Diceros bicornis minor: one gene and its partners. The protein of the gene in region 1 purifies or fractionates together with the protein of each later gene. This does not show direct contact. Links are inferred from orthologs where the notes say so. Each region holds a gene or a part of one and is shown in the gene's direction. Other genes may lie near its edges.

What was found.
Region 2: the proteins of SLMAP (region 1) and STK24 purify together in Homo sapiens (affinity purification with mass spectrometry; 6 studies listed by BioGRID and IntAct, with this or other methods). This does not show direct contact. The link is inferred for Diceros bicornis minor from reciprocal best matches to the Homo sapiens genes SLMAP and STK24.
Region 3: the proteins of SLMAP (region 1) and STK4 purify together in Homo sapiens (co-immunoprecipitation; 3 studies listed by BioGRID and IntAct, with this or other methods). This does not show direct contact. The link is inferred for Diceros bicornis minor from reciprocal best matches to the Homo sapiens genes SLMAP and STK4.

The regions. Positions count from the first base shown.
Region 1 is NC_080741.1:57,749,709-57,757,125, forward strand, and holds the start of SLMAP (sarcolemmal membrane-associated protein), read left to right. Parts: upstream 1-4,364; 5' UTR 4,365-4,656; coding exon 4,657-4,854; intron 4,855-7,417. UniProt on the Homo sapiens protein: Associates with the striatin-interacting phosphatase and kinase (STRIPAK) core complex, forming the extended (SIKE1:SLMAP)STRIPAK complex.
Region 2 is NC_080748.1:74,650,946-74,658,060, reverse strand, and holds the start of STK24 (serine/threonine-protein kinase 24), read left to right. Parts: upstream 1-4,025; 5' UTR 4,026-4,347; coding exon 4,348-4,389; intron 4,390-7,115. UniProt on the Homo sapiens protein: Serine/threonine-protein kinase that acts on both serine and threonine residues and promotes apoptosis in response to stress stimuli and caspase activation.
Region 3 is NC_080758.1:16,216,492-16,224,002, reverse strand, and holds the start of STK4 (serine/threonine-protein kinase 4), read left to right. Parts: upstream 1-4,503; 5' UTR 4,504-4,556; coding exon 4,557-4,591; intron 4,592-7,511. UniProt on the Homo sapiens protein: Stress-activated, pro-apoptotic kinase which, following caspase-cleavage, enters the nucleus and induces chromatin condensation followed by internucleosomal DNA fragmentation.

The DNA.
Region 1 (7,417 bases):
TTTAGGGAAGGTTGCATATTAAGTGAGTTTACAGAGTCATCTCCTACACATCTGAAATGCTAATAATTGCCTGTCTTTCATGGTACCAGGGTAATAATTTCACAATTCTCTCTTTGCTTTTCTAAGATTGAAAAGTAGCATGGATCATAGCAGTGGTGATAGTTATCAGTCTATTAAAAATGTAAAAATAAAAAAAAGGAGAGAAAGCTGCAACATTGGAAAACACTACCATTCCAAATTTCTCAAAACATGACATGTTTTTTGTTTAATTAAAATACTGTATGGATACAGAATCATCGAGAGGAACACCCACATGGCTTAGAATTCAAAATATCTCATGTATGAGATTTCTTAATTTAAGCCTTTTCTATGCCTGCCGAATACCAGTGGGTGAAGAACGCCTTCAATGCCATTTTGGCATTTCCACACCCTGTGTAGCTTGGTAGGATTGTTTACTCTTCCAGGTTATAGCAATCCCAGCTTTTCTTGGAGAAAAAAAGCCTATTCTGTTTAACATTAGTTTTAAGAGAGATTGTAGTAGAACTGAACGTAAAGAGACACTTCTTGTTTCCATATTTGTGAACAAGTTTGTCCATATACAAATTAGGGATAATACAACTTGCTCCTTACTGTATGTGGAAGGCTGGGGGAATTCTTACTATTAGTAATAATAATAAAAACTAACATTCTCTGAATATCTACTATTTTCTAGACATCATGGTAGGCACTTTGTCTTGCGTTATCTTATTTAACCCTAACAAGACTCTGTGAAGTATTGTCTACTTTTTTCAAATGAAGAAACTGAGACTTAGAGAAGCTAAATAATTTACCATTCACAGTGCTGGTAAATGGTGATGCAACGTCTGATTCTGAAACCTTGATTTTCATTACTCTACTTTAACCTTGTAGGAGAAAGATGGAAATGTTCTGAAGTTTATTGCATTGCCTATGAATCCTCCAGCAATTGAAATCATACTTCTGTGCCCCTCTCCTTGAACACCCCCACTTCCACTTATACTGCAATAATACAGACCTGCTTGTAATTCCCTTAAGGTCCTGTTCTCTCAAGTTTCTGGGTCTTTGTTTATAATATTTTCTTGGCCTAAAATTTTGTTATCCAACTACTACCAGACTAGCTTGCCTACTCCTACTCATTTTTCAAGTCTCAGTTTAAACTACTCTACCATGCTCCCATTACTCTTTGTTTTTCCTGAGGAAAGTTCGCCCTGAGCTAACATCCACTGCCAATTTTCCTCTTTTTGTACGTGAGCCGTGCCACAGCATGGCCACTGACAGACAAGGGGTGTAGGTCCGTGCCCAAGAACTGAGGCTGCTGAAGCGGAGTGCACCGAACTTAACCATTGGGGCTGGGCCCCATTACTCTTGATATACTCATTATGGCAGGGATCTTATTGTGTCATCACCTAAACTATGAGCAATTCAAAGGAATCTTTTTTTTTCATTGTTGTATTTCCAGGGCCTTTCAAAGTATCTGTTTCCCAGTAGATATTCAATTAAATATTTATAGAATGAATGAATGAAGGAATGCATAAGTCACTTATAAATTCATGCACAGAACTCATCAGGGATTTGTGGAGGGACCTATATTACTTTATTCCACATAAGCCTAAAAGTTACCAAAAATGAAAACTCTTCATCTTTATATGAAAACTTTTGAACATATCCTTATTTTTCTCCAGAATAAAGTAACTGGACACAGTAGTCGTTCAATACATATTTGCTGAATTAGTGAAGAGTCTTAGAAAAGTATATGAAGGCTTTATAATCGAATGCATATTCTTGTCTCCAGATTCACTTTGTGCCACTCCTGCTTTATCCTGTAATAATGAATAACAATATGTAATTTTTATTGAGGTATCAAATATTTATTGAGTCACTATTATATGCCAGGCACATTGGTCCACTGTTTCAATAGCCTTGTTCCTTTGCTTCCTAGTCCCTCTTTCTGGAAATTTATGAAGGCACTCAGTAAATACCATATTTATTGTGGTTTTCCTACCTTCATTCATTCAGTTCAGTTACTTCCCCTAGAAGGCTGTCCCTGACCCCTTTAGGATCCAGTGCTTGCCTCCATCTTAGCCCTGATTACATCAAAGTGAAGTTATTTGTATCCATGTTTGTCACCTCTCTCCCCAAATTCCTATCCAATAATACCTCAATGAGCCCTTAGAGGGCAGGGACTGAGGTTTTGTTCACCCCTAGGACTCAGCACAGATTTTAGGACAGGGCCAAAAGCCTATGAATAAGCATTGAAATGAACAATAGTTACTCTTCATTGAGCAACATGGATTATCGTCTTGAATTCTCACAAGAACAGGTGAGTTATGTATTATCTGCATGCTATAGATGAGAAAACGAGGCTTGAAAAGGTTTAGAAACTTGCCCAAGGTCACACAGTGGTGGAGCCTGTTGTCAAAGGAATCTGAAGAATGAAGCCACCATTGACTCTAAATGAATGACTCCTTCCCACCATCTTTTCTTGAAATTTTCTTTCAGATTTTGCAGTCTTCCCTTCTTTAGACCAATGACTCCTCATCTACCTTAATATCATGAGTGGGGGGCCACACCCCCTTTTTTTCATATTGTAAATTGATGACATCTCTCTAGAAGCAACGTGACTTTAAACTTTTAAGTCATACTCTTTCTGGGGTAGAATCTGTGTTTGGAGCCCTGAGGGACATGACAGTTCCAGTGAGAAAAGCGGTCATTCGAAATAGAATGCGGGGACTAAGAAAGAGTTTTTCTCCGGGTAGGATACACAGGGAAGACTTTAGCAGGAAGAGGACGGACTTTGTCATCTTAGATGCACAAATCCTGAGACTTGTGGGAATTTGGTTGTTCACACCTAAGGCGGCTGTGGGGGACTGTGTTGCCCACAGCTAAGATGGCTGCTAATGAACATTTGCTTTGGATGGATCTGTTCTCTTTGCTCGCTGCCATTTTCAACAAGAACGATAGTGAATAAAATTTAGTAAAAGTTGGTGCCTTCTTACCAAGATGGTAAAGTAGGAAGTTGGCACGTTTTGTTTAGAAAACCTTCAACAGGTCAAATTTTTTCTTGCCCTTAACCAAAAGGGCCGAAAAGGTTGTCCCATGGTTTGAAGCTTTCAGCCCTTAACTAAGATGGCGCCCGGAGAATCGTTGAAAATTATCTTGCCCTCTTTTCTGCCCTCGACCGTCATGGCTTCCGCGGCGTCGATCACGTGACTTCCCCGGACTACGGCGCGGGAGAGGGGGTAGGAGGGCCCTTGAAGGGTGCGCGTTCCCGTGGCGGTGCACCCGGTAGGTTTCAGTCAGAGTCACTATGGCGGCCGGCGCTGGCAAGGTAAGCTGAGGCGGCGGCGGCGGCAAGGGAGGCTGGACCCGTCGTGGTGTCCGGGCTCCAAATTCCCGCAGCCTCTCTGCGGAGAGGTCGGCCGAGGTCGTGGCCCGTGGCGGGGGCTGGCGGGGGGCGGTTGAGGGGGATGAGGGCTGAGGCGGGCGGGCACCGGCGCCTGACGGCCGTTTGTTTTGATGTTTCCCCCACCAGGTCGGAAAGTTTCTTGCTTCGTCGGGCACAGCCTGAGCGTGTCCCAGCGGCCGCGAGTGGTGGAGGCTGCGGCGGACCCAGCCCGGGGCCTCCAGGCCTCTCCCCCAACCTCCGGGCCGGCCTCCCTCCCCCACCTCCTCGTCCGCCGGGAGCTGCGGCTGCCGTCCCTGAGATGCGACCCTCGCGGGGGCGACCCTGAGGGGAGGCGGCCGGTGTGCTGAGCAGCAGCCAGGAGCCCAGGCGTCCAGGGACCAACTTCTTGCGGGCGGAGACCACCGAGCCTCCCCGGGGTCGCGCCTCGCTCGGTCCGCACCGGCCTGCGGAGCCGGATCCCCGCCCTGGTCGCGGGGACGCCCGCCAGGTGTCGGGGAGTCCCGACTCGGCCTCTGCCCGCGCTCCCGCCAGTCCCCGCTCCTCGCGCCAAGGACCCAGCCACCGCCGCCTCGGCTCGTGCGGGGCCAGGGACCCGTGCCACCTCCCGGGCGGCCTCCGCGCAGCAGGGGCCATGCAGACTGTCCCGCTGGCCGTCTAGACCCCCTCGCGTCTGTCTCTCCCCTCTCGAGGCCCTCGAGGACGGGCAGTGGCTGCCCAGAGGTGCTCGGCTACACCTTCTTTCAGCGCGAAAGGACCTTGCTGGCCGCACCGAACCGACCCTTCCTTCATGCTGCAGTGCTGCAACATTTCCGCCACCGAGGGGGAAAGGCGGCCGCGATCCCAAACAAAACACAAGAATTGGTGTGTGACTCATCTGCTTGGATACCTCCAATCTCCAAACTGTCTTCCAGGAGTTTTCTTGGCCGAAGCTGTCCGATGTTTGAGTCTTTTCATCCCAGGGAAGAAGATGGACTGAAAGCTGCCAGTTGGGGACTTTTTGTGATCAGGGCGCTGCTGGGTTTTAAAGGAGGTAATGGGGCTTTCGCTGGCTTGTCTTCCCACTCAAGTGAAGAAGAGTTGTTGATGTTCGCTGGTTATGCTTAGACAATGCACAGTTTGTTTTAATTTAAAATTTTGGGGGGGATAGGGGTATAGGCTTGTGAAGGGCAGTCCGGATCCGGTGGAACTCCTCTTTGTCCCTTGATAGGAGAGACACCCCCAGTCTGTCCTCGATGCCGTCAGCCTTGGCCATCTTCACTTGCCGCCCGAACTCGCACCCGTTTCAGGAGCGTCATGTCTACCTGGACGAGCCCATTAAAATCGGCCGCTCCGTGGCCCGCTGTCGACCAGCGCAGAATAATGCTACCTTTGATTGCAAAGTGCTGTCAAGGAACCATGCTCTCGTCTGGTTTGATCACAAGACGGGCAAGGTAATGTCACCACATTGTCTAACAGTCTTTATTTTTCCTATGCCTTTGCCGTTTTTGCATAATGTATTCGGGATCCCAGGGTTTGCACGCGCAGGAGACTTTCAGCAAGGCCACGGAATCAAGTTTTTGTGTCTGGTTCTAGTGGAAATTTAATTGAGGTGGTTGAATGGAAAACAGAGAGGTATTGTAATTAAACGCCTCAGGAGGGTGATGGCATCTTGATAACGTGGTCATTCCCAGTGAAATCCCAAACCCTAGGGTGATGGCATCTTGATAATGTGGTCATTCCCAGTGAAATCCCAAACCCTAATTCGTTTCGGAAAACTAGATAGTGAAACTTGGCTTCTTGCTTTCAGTCTTTTTAGAAAGGTGAATTTGCAGTTCAGTGCTTGATTAAGCAAGGAGCAATTCCCAAAGCAATGCAGGGAATCCGTGGCCAGTATTACACTGGGGCTCAAGTGTCTCAGTGGTGAGAGGTAGTTAACACATAGCTTTTAGTTGAGTTCAGATCAGGGCCTTTCTAGTAAGGACAGTCCTTTGTGTAAATTGTGTGGGAGTAATTTGCAGTTATCAAAGCCAATTTAATTAAGCATGAACAACTGTTAACTTGACATTTTCAGAGTTCTGTTTGCATATTGGGTTAACGTATACCTATTGCTTTTGAAAATCAGTTTTTGATGTTCCCCGCAGCATTTACTAAAAACACTTAATGCATACTTACAGAGGTGATATTTAGGAAATCAATTTATTTTCTGAAATTATATCCAATTCTATCAATTATTACAGTACCTAGATGTGATAGGATGAATTTAGTGCTCTTCCATTTTAGCATTTTTATGTTGGCACCCTATTTTGCTATACATGTGAGTGCTTATATTTTATGAATACAAGAAAAAAAATACAGACAGATCCTTTCAATTTTTAAAACTCTTTATGTGTTTGGAGAATATACTAAAGAGCTTATTTTTGTGCTTAAACCTCAGGTTTTAGTTGAGCTACTGAATCAGTTCTAACTTAGAGTAAGTTATATAAGACTAATAAAAATATCTCTGGTTTCACCTCCTGACTTTTTGCTCCCTCTTTCTGAGTTAAATGATTAAATCTTTTTTAAAAAGAGAATTTAAGTCAAGAGTAGTGCTTTGAAATGAAAGAAACCTGAGCCTCAAAAGGAAGAGAGAAAGCAATACTTCTTTTGCTACTGAATTAAGGAATTATTATATAAATTATTTTTCGAAGAAAGGACGAAAAGATTGCCCAAGTGCTGTGTGCTTGCATAATACCAAACCCTACTCCGTGTGTGGGATGAGAACAGAAAAGTATGTTATTTTTTCGGTGTAACACCAGATGATCATTTACCTGGGAACACACCCTTTTTTTCCCCCTGGAAACTAAAGTTTGGGTACCTGAAAGACTTCATAGATTACCCATAATCATTTAAAGTGAATATTCATAGAACTCATCTTTCCAGAAATGAAATTCAAACATCAGTTAACTGCTAGTGCGTTAACTCAACCAGCTTTTACATATTTGTCTCTTTATGTGCCTGGTCCAACTTAATCAGAAAACAGGTTTGCTTAAAGTACATACTCTGCAAATGCACATTCTTTGCTTTGATTCAGTACTCAAAGGAGACTCAGATTTTTTCTTTTACTTATTTGAAAAATAATGATTACATGAACAGTGCTTTTCATGGCTATTCTAAAACCCCCACAATAGGTTATTTTGAGATGAGAGAATAGGTCAATAATGAGTGTTTATTGTAGAAATTGAGATGACGTGTTAAAATTTTGAATGGAATTTGTTATTAGAAAAACTTATCTTTAAAGGATACACAGCTTATTTCTACCATTTTCACTTTTTTCCCCTGCTTTATTAGCTAAACCACATTCAGAATATGAGGCCATTACTTTAGGCGTAGCTATAATTATTGATTATTGTACCACTTAATCTAGTTAAAACAAATACCCTATCAGATTGTGCCATGTGATCAAATTGTCTTAGGAATTAACTATTTAAAATTTAGGTTTGAACAGACAGTAGATTTTTATTGAGCATTTATTGTGTGTCAGATATCGTGAGGTATGCAGTTCCAAAGAAAACCCACAGTTTGACCAAATATCTTTAATTGTTTTCTCTGTGTGAAATTTTCAGTTTGAGAATTTCTGCTATAATTGTCTCATAACAAAAGTCCCCAGGCCTAATATATATTCCCAGCAAATTCCTTTATACAACACAAGAATCCCCTCCTTCTATAAGCATTACTTCACGCAAGTTTTTTTTTAAACATCTCTAAGCCTCAGTTTTCTCTTCTGGGAATAATGATGGTACCTACTATTGTTTTGAGAATTGAGGTAATTATGTAAATCATTTAGCACCCTTATTAAGGGCTCAGTACTTAGGGAGGAGGGTGTTTGGGTTGAGGGGAAGAGGGAACCATCTCGACAGGTCTTTGCAATATAGTATAGTAGTGCTGTGGAGTCTTAGGAAGGTAATGGGAAATTTTTTTCTTTTATGTGATGGCGTATATAGAAGTAATGTTTTTTTGTTCTTTTGTTTTTTTTTT
Region 2 (7,115 bases), on another chromosome or scaffold:
TGACCGCAAACGTGCATACAGTGAAAAGGGTGTGTTATGGGCTGAATCATGTGTGTCCCCCCACCCCATTCATATGTTGAAGTTTTAACCCTCAGTACCTCAGAATGTGACTGTATTTGGAGATAAGGTCTTCAAAGAGGTAATTAAGTTAAAATAAAGTCATTAGGGTAGGCCCTAATCAAATATGACGGGTGTCCTTATAAGAAGAGGAGGTTATGAAACACACACACGTACACACAGAGAACACCATGTGTGGATACAGGGAGAAAATGGCCATCTACAAGCCAAGGAGATGCCTCAGAAGAAATCAACCCTGCCACATCTTATCTAGGACTTCTGGCCTCCAGAACTGTAAGGACATAAATTTCTGTTGTTTAAGCCGCCCAGCCTGTGCTACTTTGTTATGGCAGCCCTAGCAACCAAAAACGGACGTGGAGCCACGTCGCTCTGAGAGCTGGCCCTCTGAGCTTCACACCCACACAATGAAACTTCGTTTGCACCATACCTCAATGTAGCTGGATCTTTTCCTAGGGCTTTAGCATATATTTTCTTGCCATCATGTCATCTAACTATGACGAGGCATGCTTCTTCATACTGATTTTAATAATCTGTCTTCCTCTTTTGTGTCTTCACCTGCTGAACATGTGTAGAAATTTGTCAAGCCTTCTGTTAGTTACTTATCCAAGCTACTCATATTTCTCCCTTTAAAGTTCACCATGTAAGTCCCTTTCTTTAATCTGCAAATTTAAATTGCTAATGTGCTACTTGTCTAGCTGTTCTTTATAAAGTGGCATTTGGGGGTGTTTATCTTTTCAACTCAGAAGGAGAAGTGAAGGGACTGATTGTTGAATTCTTGTTTTCGGCTGCACTCTTTGAGCTCTGCTGAGACTACAGAGCTGGCTTAGGGAACTTCAATACACAAGGGCTCTATATTTGGAGGGGCTCATTGTAAGGGTATGGAAATGTCCTTTGTGGTCCCAAATATATGTCAGAGCACAATTCATTGCCCAATTCATGTCCTTAAGTCAACACAAAAGACAAAGAGAGCCAGGGGATGAAAATAATTCCATGGGTTAGCAAGTGTCTCCATGGAGACCAGAAAATGCATAATCTCTATGGAGACCCTCAAAATCTCTCCTTCTGAAATTACAATAGTATATGATCTGTTGTAATTATAAGTTGAGGGTGGAGACAAAGTGACCAGAGGAAGAGGATGACAGGATAACCTTCTTTCCCTTGTGGAAATTATAGCTGTTGTGACTCTAAGTTTAATCAGTTGTGGTATTGTAAAATTCTGAAGTTAGCATTCTGGGAGACCATGTCCCTAGGATGGGATAAGAGGCACTTGAGGATCCAGCGTTTATATGCCCAACACTAACCTAGATGTCTGACATGTAGTTGGCGTTCAGAACAATGTGTTAATGTATGAACCAATGCAATGAGCAATTGGGCAGGATCTCATCATGGGCTCGGGCCCTGTCAATCATCTCTGCTCTGCTAAAACAAAGGGAGAGGGCTACTGATGGGGAATCCCGGGTAATGTCTGCATATGACCGAGCTGCACCAGTAACTCTTATTTTGCTTCTTTCTTCTCTTTCAAGGAGAATGGTGCTCAATTGTAGAAATATGGTTGAAGGAGGAAATGAGGTTTAGTCGTGGTGAGGAGATAAACAGGGTACAAGGAAATAGACCAGCTAATGAATGCAGGTCACTGTGTGCAGATAAGTTATATCCCATTGTAACCAACATGTTCTTAGCCTCACTAGCCTCTGGATAGAAAACGGGATTCTGATTACTTTTTATACCCAGGTTGTTATGGTCCAGTGTCCCCTGTGGCACATTTGTTGGAAATTAGCCCACCGTAAAGTGGGCCCCAGTGTTCTTTGAGAGTTTCCTATGGTAATGCCTCAGATCAGGGCCCAAACATTTCTGCCCACTTGTCCTGTTTCTTCCTCCTTATCTTGCTGCCATGTTATTGCCCTGACGGCTCACCCTAAGGAGAGACTTCTTTAGCATGATAGTCTCTACTGGTTGACCACCTACTGAAAAAATCACCTTTAATTCCAGGGATAGCCACTGCTTGGTAAATATACTTCCAAGTTTTTCTCTGTTTATGCATATATGCATAAAATTATATAAATTTAAATTATATATATGTTAAATTTATAAATTCATATATGTGGAGTAGCTTGAGATCAGACTATACATAATTTTGTACCCTGTATTTTCTTTCTTAATAATATATAATGAAAATATTCTTCCATGTTACTAAATATTGAAATACATAATTTTTAATAACTACCTAGAACTCACGTTATGAATATACTATCATTTACTTAAAAATCTCTGTGGACTTTTAATGTTTCCAATTTTCCCACAATTATAAATATCACTGCACTGCATCTTTTTATCTACGTTCTTCTGCACTTCTTGGTTGTTTCCTCAGCATTTGTTACTTTAAGTAGAATTCCAGGGTTAAAGAGTATTAACCCTTTTAAGACTCACGTTTTTGCTTGTTTTGCTGTTCATCTCTTTACGTAACCATTTTTTAGGTACACAAGATTTATACAAGATGGCAAGCTCCTAGGTATCAGGATTCATGCTTTTCTTAACTTTGTATTTGCCACATGCTCTTCACATTCCTTGGAGGTGGCAGGGCTTCATATTTCAGTGAAAACAGTGTACCAGTGACAACCATGAAGGTGTGTGAACCATCCTGAAGGACCTCGAGGAAAAACATGCATATTTCCAAAGGGAAAGAGGGATTCAGTCTAAGCACCCCACTCTCTGATCCAGAGCACCAGAGGGACCTGAAGTTGTTAAGAACACAGTGACATCTCAGAGAAGAAACATTCCTTGCCTTAGTAGAGGACTTTTAGAGTTTCCTCCAATAGTCTGTGAACTCTGGGGGGCTCATTTTTGTACGTCCGACCTAGCACAGCGATGGTGCAACAAAAGCATTCACGGGCATGAATGAGGAGCCAGGGTCCCCACAACCTGAGGTGCAGCAGATCACTTCAGTGGCTGCCACTCTGTCATTGTAAATAAAATACTTTCTGGAGGCAGTATTGACTCATTCCTAATGTCTTTCCTCTGCAGTTGGAGAAGAGGTGGCTAAACGGTGGGGGTCGAACTGGTGCTGAAGGCGGAGCTGGCCCTTTCGCTGGTAGCCGAAAGAGGGAGAGGGCCGGGGTAAGTCTAGACACGTTTCCTTCGATTGTCTTCCCTTCCTCCCTGCCCCTCCCCCACCTTTCCCTTCTCGTGGGTGGCCGCTCCCGCCCTGGTGCGGAGCCCCCTCACTTAGCTAAGTTTGCAGCGCCTCGAAGTCCAAGCGGGGCTGTCTTCAAGTAGCAAAAGCACGGGGGATTAACAGCTCTCGGCCTCTCCCCTCTCGGTTTCCTCCTTGGGTTGGTAGGAAACTTTACCCAGACGCCGAAGAAGCTCCGCCCTGGTAGTTTTGAACTGGCCACTGGCTGAGGCCCCGCGGGGCACTCTCCCTCCCCAGGTCCCCCAGCCCCAGACTCTACCCTCGAGGAGGCCGCCCGGAGCCAGTTTGTTCGGGGGCAGATGGCGAGCGGTGGGCTGGCTGGGAGGGCAGGAGGAGGAGGATAGAGGAAGAGTCGGTGCGCACCGCTCCCGCGCTGCCCAGACCCCCTTAGGGCCCGACTGGGCCCGCGGGTGGGGTGGGGGTGGTGGGCACGCGGCCCATCCCTGCCTCCAAGCCGCGTCCCTCGTCTCCCCGCCGGGCGGGCGGCCGCCCGCCCCCACCTCCCCTCCGGCTGCCCATCCTCCTCCCGCTCTGCCCTGCCGCTGGGGGGAGGGGCAGCCCGCGGGAGACGCTCCGACCCCCGGCCGCCCCGGCAGGCGGCGGCGCAGGCGGCTGCGGCCTAGGGCCCCGGGCGGCCGCGAGCCTCCTCCCCCTCCCGGAAGCGCGGGGCGGGGTCCCCGGCCGGGCCGCGGGGGCGGGCGCGGGGGCCGGGCCGGGGCGGGGCGCGCGGGGCGCTCGGCACTCGCGGGCTCGGCCGGCTGTGCGCGCCCACTCCGGCTCCAGGCGACCGGCGCGCGCGGGCCCAGGCCGCCCGGCTCCAGCGGAGCAGCAGCGGCGGCAGCTGGCGGCGAGGCCCCGCGCCCCTCGAGCCCCTCCCCGGCGCCGCGCATGGAGACGCGGCCCGCCGCCCGCCGCTGAGCTCGCCGCCCGGCCCGGGACCCGCCGGGGCTGGGGTGGCCTCGGGCTCCGGCCGGCCGCCCCCGTCGCCCGAGGGCTGCGCGCGGCCCGCGGGCCTCGTCGCCCGCGCGGATCGCCGCGGCCCGACCGTCCCGTCCCAGGCACTGGCCGTCCCGAGCGCCATGGCACACTCCCCGGTGCAGTCGGGCCTGCCCGGCATGCAGGTAGGCAGCAGCCGGGCCGCCGAGGGAGGGAGGGATGCGCGGGCCGGAGCGGAAGCGGGAACTTGGCGGTGTAAACACGGCCCCCCCACGCTGCCCTTCCGGGGTCGCGCCGGCCGCCCGCGCGGTACTCCCAGCCCCCGGGGCCACTGCCCGGCGCCGCGGCCCCAGGCTCGGGGGCGGGGGTGTGCGGGGATCGGGGCGCCGCGGCCTGGAGGCGGCCCTCGCCGGCCGGCGTCGCCGCGGTCAGGGAGGGATGCGGGGGTGCCAGCCGCCTTGCCCTCCCCGCTTTGCTCTCTTCCCAACGCCTCCCGAGTGCAGGCCCGGCGCCGGCGACCTCCCCGGGGAGAATGGATGCGCAGAAATGCCCTTGGAGGCCCGGATCCGGCTCGGGGCCCTGCGTGCGGCGGAGGCCCCTGTCCCCCCGGCGAGCGGCCGGAGAGTTGAGCGGCGGGAGGGCAGCCCCGGACGCGCCCCGACTCGTCCTGGGCCGGGCCCGGCCGGCTGGAGGAGGCAGGGCGGGGTGCGGCAAGGTGTAGGTGCCAGCCCCACTTCCAGCGCGTTCGTTCCGCGCCTGTCCTGGTGCAGATGGGAAAGTGCGAGCCTGGAAACCTTCTGGAAGAAGCAATCAGTCGGACACCGTGCACTCGCGTGCCGGACCCCGGGACCCTGGGCTTTTACTTTCAGACTTGGTTGGATCCGGATGAATTCCTTCCCAGTCAACCTCTCCTTTGATACTTTGTGGCATCCTGGCCGACCAGTGACTTTTTTGGAGGGGGAGAGAAGTTGAATTTCAAATTAACGTGAATGTATTAAGGTCTTTTGCCATTGGGCACTGTTCTTAGCCCTTTGAAAAAGAAAACCACCATCCGTGACTAACTTGTACTGTTTGTAAGCGCATATATGGTGGCAAAATGATTAGGGTTCAAATCTCACGATACGGTATGTCTTCCAAGTTTTGCTCTCTCAGTTTAGCTAAGCGAGTGGACCTAAGAAAACAACCACAGTTTTCCAAGTGGATTATTTATTTTACAGACATCTGCAGGCTCATTTTTTCTTTTTCCCTCGCCCTTGAGGGCTGAGAACAGGGCACCTACCTGGCCTCTTAGGAGCAGGGGATCTGCCCCACCTCTTCTGAGGCAGATGTTTTTTCCTTTTTTTTAAACCGTGAAAAGTGGGTTTCACTGTTCAGCTTTGAAATCTGGAAAAATAGGAACATAAAGTTACCAGAATTTTGGCCGGAGTTTTTTTTTTTTAAGGAGTAGCAGTTAAAGTTAATATCTTGAGTGTGCCTGAAGAAAACTGTTCTTGAATCTCATTTAAAGAGCCTTTAAATTGAACACGCATTTAAAACCTAAGCTTTTGCTGACCGCTAGGTAAAAATCAGATGTGGTTTCTTGGTATTTCTTAAAGTTCTTGCTTTGGTTTGGTTTGAATTTAGAGGCAGGAAGGCAAGGTGAACTGCGTGAAAAATTATTTTTGACGACTAGAGCAAGGGGGGCCTCTTGTAATGATAACAAAAATGCATTTAGTTAATATTTCCTTTAGACTGACTTCTATGCTGTGTTAATCAGGTTGTAATCCAGCACCAAGGCCTCACTTAGAGTTTTTACCGTGGAGGTAGTTGGCCTTTGTGGAAAGCGAATCAGTTTGGAAAGGGACTTCAAGCCTGGGTAGCTTGTGCCCTGAAGTCAGTATCAGATGGTCACCAGGTGGTATCTGGTCTCGACAATTTTTTTTTGTCCTTGCTTTTTTTTTTTCTTCAGGAGTGTGGGCCAAAATTCTTAACTCTTGGGAAAAGAAGGTAAAATTCCTTTAATAACTTTGCCTTCCAAATATAGTGTATTTCCTGGGTAGTGTTACAAGGGAACTGTTTTTATTTTGCTTTCTCAGTGTAAAAGCTGGTACATTTTTATTTAGTTGAGAGGACCACATTTCAGCTGTTATAGTTTCAGAGGTGCGAAGGTGGCTTCTGACAGCCATCCCTGCTTTTAAGCACATCTTCAAACTGTATGATAAATGTTTTTGGGTGCCATTTGGGGAAGAACATTCCTTTCCTCTCCTTTCCCCCTAAAAAAGAAAAACAACAAGCACATTTATTTTCTACTTGGAATTAGCAGCTGCTGCTGCCCAGGGAGGCATTCCTCAGAGTTGTTGAGATTAAATTAAAGATGCACCTGCCTTTGACTGACTGTTCAGGATAAAACAGGAGGGAGGTACTAACCCTTCTGTGCCCTGTCCTGAGACACCTCATCCCTCCCTTTTTTTCCATCTCATCTCCTGACCAGGGCTTTTAACGAGTTGGCTTAAAAATTTCAGAAAGACAGCAGAGTGAATTCAGGCAGCCGAGGCAAAGATGCTTAAAAAAAAAAAAAAAACCTGAATGAAAGAACATTTTAGTATAAACACGATTTTTCACTGTCTCGCGAATCATTTTTATGCCTCTTGATTCTTACTGCTACCACTTGAGGCATAAGTATTCTTTATGCCATTTTGTAGATGCAGAAACCAACAGAGACTAATGGAATGGACCAAGGTGAGACGATGTATCATGTGGCAAATTTGTGGTTTGAAACCAGGTCTTTCCTGCCTTCAAGACTGTGCTCCTACTCGCCATGCTGAATTATTGCTTTATTATTACTTTTGCAAAAATTAAAGGTTATTTCATTCCAAATTGCGTTTGCTGAAGAAATTAGAAATATGCGATTGATGTTTTATTTGTTCAATCA
Region 3 (7,511 bases), on another chromosome or scaffold:
AGTCACTGCTGGATACTCCATCAGAGGCAAGAAGGCAGAAAAAGAGTCTGGCTTCTCTCTTATTCCCAGCCTGTGTCTCCCACTACTGCTGGCTGGTCAGCTGACATGGGAACCTGGGAAGTGAGCCTGCAGGGTCAGTATCCTCCCTAAGATTTCTTAGGTGTGACATCAAAAGTATGATCCTTAAAAGGAAAAAAATGAATCAATTGGACTTAACAAACATTAAGAACTTCTGCTCTTTGAATGATGCTGTTAAAAGAATGAAAAGACAAGCCCCAGAAAATGTTTGTAAATCACGTATCTGATAAAGGACTTGCATCCAGAATATTTAAAAAAAACTCTAAAAACTCAATAATAAGAAAATAACCCAATTTTAAGAAAGGCAAAAGACTTGAAGAGATACTTTAAAAAAGAAAATAAACAGATGACAAGCACTTAAAAAGATGCTCAACATCATTAGTCATTAGGGAAATGCAAATTAAAACCACAATGAGATACCACTACACACCTATCAGAATGGCTAAAATTACAAACACTGATCATATCAAGCATAGGTGAGGAGGACAACTAGAATTCTCATACACCGTTGGTGGAAATGTCAAATGGTACAATCACCTTGGAAAACAGTCTCTTAATACATCAACATATGTCTTCCATATGACCCAGCTATTTCTCGCCTGCGTATTTACCCAAAAGAAATGAAACGTCCTTTTGTATGTATGTATGCCTATATGTATATCCACACAAAGACTTGTACACAAATGATCATAACTGTTTTATTTGTAATAACCAAAACCTAGAAAATAATTACTGTTATAAACCACTGGGCTTTGGGATGGTTTGGTACATGGTGATAGCTAACAGATACACCTAACCGATTTCTAGTAATTTTTTGTATCTTTACACGGCCCATATTCAACCTGACTCTGGCTACCTTGCCTACCTCACCTCCTACTTTTCTCTTCCTTATTCACTCTGCTCCAAGCACACCAACTTCTTGCTGCTCTTCTAATGTAAGCCTTTGCCCTTGCTGTTTCCTTCTGCCTTAAACATTCTCTTTAAATATGAGTGTGGGGGGCCGGCCCGGTGGCGCAAGCTGTTAAGTGTGCTCGCTCCGCTGCAGTGGCCCAGGGTTCGCTGGTTCGGATCCCGGGCGCCCATCGACGCACCGCTTGTCAAGTCACGCTGTGGTGGCGTCCCATATAAAGTAGAGGAAGATGGGCATGGATGTTAGCCCAGGGCCAGTCTTCCTCAGCAAAAAAAAAAAAAAAAAGAGGAGGATTGGCAGACGTTAGCTCAGGGCTGATCTTCCTCAGAAAAATAAATAAATAAATATGAGTGTGACTTATTCTTTCACTTCAGTCACATCTCTGCTCAAATATCACCTCCTCAGAAAGGCTTTCCCTAATCACTGATCTAAATTACTCCCCATCCCACTTTCCACACTCTTACATTAATTTCTTCTCATATAATTTTTAATACCAGACATTTTATATATTTATATAGTTTGTTTATTTACTGTCTATCTTTCCCACTTGAATGTGACACACATGAGGGCACAAACTTATCTCTTTTGCTCATTGCCTGGCACTTAGTACAGTGCTTGGGCCACAGCAGATACACAATATATACGTGTTGAATGAATGAATGATTGTCCCAGCTGTCTCAGAGCTGTCTCGATCTTACTAGACTTCGTTAGGTTCTCACATTATAGTTTTCTATCATGATTTATCACTACATTAATCAATTATCTGCCTAATAACTATCTTTTCTACTACACTATAAGTTGCAAAAAAGGTAGGACTCATATATGTCTCAAATATTCTTGTATACGCAGAGAATCACACGGTGCCAGCCCATGGAGCTCACAGAGTGTTGAATGAATGGAGCACGAGTAACCCTGCTCATTGGTTCTCTCTCTTAAGCTATTAGCATATTATGGTTGGCTGAGGCTTGCTATTTAAATTTAAATTAATTAAATAAAATTTTAAAATTCAATTTTTCAGTCACACTAGCCCCATTTAAAGTGCTCAACAGCCACATGTGGCTAGTGGCTACTGTTTCGACAGCACATATGTAGAACATTTCCACCATTGCAGGAATTTCTATGGGCCAGTGCTGCACCGGACGTTCTGTGGAAAAAGAGGGCAATCCTAATGTCAGTCTATCTTCTGGAAAAATCCTGGGAAGGGACAAAGGAGGGATGTTTGACAATGTGTATTGGCAAATTGACATTTATTTTTAAAAATGTTTATTGAGTACTTACTCATCTATGGGGATGAGTGTGTGGGCATAATGGAAGCTTCCACACAGAACTGCCCCTCAAGGAGGAAGAAATCCAGTGGGCAGCAGGGCCCGAACATAAGGTAAAACGTTGAGTGTGCTTTGGGAGAAGAACAGGAAAAGTGCGAGGGGATTTCAGAGGACAGAGGTTGACTTCTTGCAGGAGGGACCCATATGGCTTCCTGAACTTTGTAGAAATTCTTCTTGATCTTTACTTCCTCAGGGCTCCCACTGCCACTTGTACAGATTGCTGATAGAGCAAAATGGCAAATAAAATATGGATTTTGTGGAGTCAGGACAGTCTTGGGTTAAAACCTTCGCTCTCACTAGCCGTGTATACGTGAGTCTCTGCTTCCTCACCTGAGGAACTGGGACTAATAATTCTTACTTCATAGAGTTGTTTTGAAAATTAAGTGATAGTCTAGGATTGTGCCTGGCACACAGTAGATTCTCAGTAAATGTTTTCCTTCCGTGTCTGGGGAATGGCTCTATTATCCCATTTTTAGCACACGGGGTGCCATACCTGGGTGGCCCTGAAAGGTGGCTGCTCAGGTGTTAAGTTTCATAGATGGCATACCTTTGGGAAAAGCAGGACAATTAAAAACAGTGAGTGGTTGCTCTGGGTACATTTGCTCCTGTAACTTTCCCCGTGGGTAAGTTGGGTGGAATCTGCCATTTTCCTAGCACTCATTGATGGTGGTGGCAAGTGGGGATTTAACCATAGCCATAGCTGGAACTGGAGCTCTGAGTGGAGAGGGAGCTCTGACTCTGACGCCCAGAGAGAGAGTATACATCAGTGGCTGTCCAGTTTAAGGTGCAGGCTCTAGAATCAGACGGACCTGGATTTAAATCCCTAAACCTATTCTTTTAGCTCTGTGATCTTCACTTCCCTGGCCTTATAAAATGAGAGTATTGATAGTACTTATCTTATAAGGTTGTTAGGAGTATTAAATGAGTTAATAGTAGTAAAGCACTGAGAATGTGGTATAGCAGAGGAAGAACTATTCCTGTACTCTCTAGGTTCTTCTGGCTGATCTAAGAATTAAATTGACATGAGACAGAATAACAGGAGAAAATGAAACAAATTTAATAACATGTATACCTGGGAGAAACCCAGGAAAACTGAGTAACTCTCCAAAATGGCAGAAGCTGCTACCTTAAATACCATCTTCAGCTAAGAACAAAGGAGGACGTTGGGGTTATTGGTTTTGGACTTCAAAGGGGAGGAAGGCAATTTACATGGAGATGGAAAACCAAATGTTTGGTTAACAAATGTTGACCATGCCTTGCAAAGACAATGAGAGATGAGGACTTTGATTAAAAGGCCCTTGTTAGGTTCCTCCCTGTTTATCAAACCTAGTTTATATTATTCTATGGTTATCTTATGGTATTAGCTCCTTCCTGGAACAGGCTTTCTATCTTAAATTCTTTTAGGCAGTTAGAAGGAAGGTGAAGTTTCCTTCCAAGTCTTTTGTTCTTAAAAATAATCAAGCCAAAGAGACACATTTTTGGGGTGGCAAATTCTGATCCCCCACAGTGGTAAGCACAGTTTGTCAGATAATCAACACATAAAATTGGGGATAACCATACCTGCTTGATGTGAGGATTAAATGAAACAATATATGAAAGCAAATACATGGCAAGAGCTTAATAAATAACATGTACACCTGGTTTCTCCCAGGTATACACGTCTCCAAACTGACTCAAAGGAGAGGCTGTTAAGGAAGAGGGTGGGGCAATTTGCAGGCTGATGCCCTGTGACAGCCAAGAAGGTATGCGCGGTCCAGTCTCCATCTGGAACAAGAATTCTACCAGGTAAGAATGGTAGAAAACCACAAATACTTCCAGGAGGCCCTGGGGGTGACAGCGATTCCCAGGAATCGCGTAGAACTTGGCTTGTTAAGAATCAATAGTTTTTATCAAGCTGGCGCTTCGCAAGAAGCCTCAGTATCTCAGTCTAAGAAATAAGGGGCCGGACTGAGGCAGACATGCGTTCCCGGTGTGGGGACCGAGCGGCTTGGGCGAACAGCATGTCAAGCAGAGCGTCAAGCCTGGCTGAGGACTCCAGGCAACAGTCTCCTCCGCTCCGGGCTTCCGGTCCGCGCCCCGCTGCACCACGTGACCCAGGCCCGGTCCTTGTGGCCCCGCCCCGCGCCGCGCGGCTTCCGGTAGGGGCGGAAAGCGGAAGTGTGGGAGGGTCTGCGGGGCGTGCTCGGGTAGGTCCCCGGGGAGGATGGGGCAGTGAGCGGGCTTGGGCGGCTGCTGGCAGCGCCATGGAGACGGTGCAGCTGAGGAACCCGCCGCGCCGGTGAGGGGCCACTGGCTAACGGGAGGGGGGTCGGGGGGAAGGAAAGGCGGGAACTGACGGAGGGGGGACACCCGTTGTCGAGCCCCCGAGGGGAGGGACCTGCGGGGCGAGGCGACCCGGTGATGGGGCACCTGCTGAGTGGGGGACATCTGGCGGCTGGGGGTCCGGGAGAGAGAGGCACGCGCCGAGGGGGATAAACGTGGGGCTGGTTAGGGAGAGCACTTGCTGTAGGGGGACGTCCTGGGGGACTGCTGAAGGGAGCAGCTGCTGAGGAACGTGGCGACAAGTTAGGGAGAGCACCTGCTGAGGGCTGGGGCCGCTGGGGGAAGGCTGTCCTAGAAGGGACTCACTGAGGCGGGGGGAATGCTGAAGCAGGATGGGAACCTATGAGGGGTCTGTCTAAGGGATGGGTCGGGGACAAGCTGAGAGGAAGGCTGGGTGGACTTCGTAAGGACGGGGTCCCACCTGAGGGGTGCTGTTGGGGAGGATCTGCTGGGGGAAAAGCTTTGCTCCAAAAGCTGAAGGTGTGCCAAGAAAGGTTGCCGGTCTAGCAAGGGAGGGAGGGCTTCCTGGAGGACAGCATTTAGGAAGATGTCCTTGGTAGTGTCCCCACTCTAGGATGATGATGGCATCTGTCATTCCTTAAGTCCAGTGCCTTCTTAATTTTCCTCACATCCTCCTCAGCCCTTTAAACCCACCATTGCGGGGTAGATGAGGAAATAAGGATTTTTTTCAAGTTGGGGAAATTGAGGCCCCGAAGAGTTGAGACACAGACCCCTGTGTTTCCTTCTTTGCTCTAGACTGGGTCACTGGACCAGGCCAGACTGTGCCCTTTTCAGGCCTCTATTGTTTTGTGAGTATCAGCTCCAGATCCTACTGATACCTGGAATTGTTTTAAGTCCAGATCAGGGAGGTGGCTGATCCTAGAAGGTCTGTACTCCTGATTTGGTCGCAGTTGCATCATTGATTTGCTCTACGGACCCCCAGGGTCTTATGTCACTCTGCCACATCTGGAGAAAAAGAGAGTAGAGATGGAGGCAGTCATGCTTCTCTGAGGTGCAGTGTAGTTAGCTTCTATTTCACAGAGGCCTCTGACTTCCTGCAGCAGAAGGAGCGCTAAAGTAGGAAGTGTTCAGTGGGTGGGAGTGCGGGGCAATGGAGAGGTGAAGGGAAGAGACTGGCAGCCTGGGCTGCACACTTGGGGTTTGTTTGAAGCGCACAAGCACTGCAGAAGGCAGATAGCTGGTTGGTATGAACTCATAATTCACGCTAGTGTAGTGTGCTGAGACTGAAATAGTAATAATGATTATTACCCTCATCTAGCACTTACTGGGTGCCGGACACTGTTCTCAGTGCTTTCTGTTGAACCATGTGAAAATGCCGATATTTGACCATTTTTGATCTGTAAAAATGGTAATTTTGTGTGGTTCAACTTACTATTGACTCATTTGATCCTCACAACAATCCTGTGAAGTGGTTACCCCTATATCTCTATTCTACAGGTGATAAAACTGAGGCACAAAGAGGTTAGTGATTTGCCGGAGGTCCCACAGTTAGTAAGTGGTGGAGCTGGGATTTTAATCCAAGCAGTCTAGTCCGAAGCCACGCTCTTAACTGTCTCACTCTGATGCCTCTCTGGAAGTACCCGTGTTTCACAGGGCCTTGCGTGCATTAGCAGATATTTGCTATCACACCGTGGCGATCCACTTATAAATGTACACTGATTATATTTCTTTCTGAAATATGTTTGTTCTTTCTCCTCGGGCTTGGTTTAATTGGAAAGAGCATTAGGGATCTGAGTTTTGTTGCTGTCTTTGCCTCGTGTTGTATAATCTTGGGCAAAAGAGTAAACCTTTTTGCTTTTTGACACATTCATTCCTGTACCTTTTGGGTTTTAAAAAAATTTATTAAATGTGCAAGAGAAGAGCATTGCAAGACAGTTCTTGAATGACTGGTGCTTTCCTGTTCATCATAACTAATTTGCATCATAACTCATTTGCCTAATTTGCAGCAGATTAACTTTATTATCATTTGTATTAGTTTGTTAGGACTGCCATGTCAGTGTCACAGACTGGGTGACTTAAACAACAGAAATTTATTTTCTCACCGTTCTGGAGGCTACAAGTCCGAGATCAAGATGTCGGCATGGTTGTTTCTTTTGAGGCCTCTCTCCTTGGCTTGTAGGTGGCTGTCTCCTTCCTGTGTCTTCACATGGTCTTCCCCCTGTACCGGTCTGTGTCCTCATCTCCTCTTATAAGGACACCAGTCGTTTTGGATTAGGCCTCACCCATATGACCTCATTTTACCTTAATTACTTCTTTAAAGCCCCTATCTCCAAATATAATCACATTCTGAGGTACTGGGGGCTAGGACTTCAGCATATGAATTGGGAGGGGCACATTGATTTTATCATCATTACAAAAACTTCATCAGTTTGTCTTACGTATTTGTTGTAAATAGAATCAAATTCTATTTGGAGGGAGGGATAGGTATACATAAATAAAATGAGCCTGACATGAGTTCTAAAATGGGAGAAAGAGATTTGATAATTAGCCAAACCTATGAGTAACTACTTCATAAAAAGTCTTGTTTGTGTTTGGAAAGATACAAATGTCTTTTCAGAGATTCAGATGGCCTGTGTTTCCAACAAGGAATAGCAATCCCAATGCAGGAAATGCTCTTTGTGTTCATGAGTTTAACATTTGTGTGTGACTCCTACGTATGGCTTATGTAGGAGTTTATGATTTTAAAAAATGAGTTGCCATTAGATAATAATAGTGTAGTGGAAGGTGTAGAGTACATTTCTGGGATGCTGGCCATCCACGTGGCCATCTGACTTAGAAGAGGAGCATCCACCGGTATTTGGTCCATGCAGGCTGTGTTGGCCAGGCCTGTGTGTTTATGAGCAAGCAGTGAAACG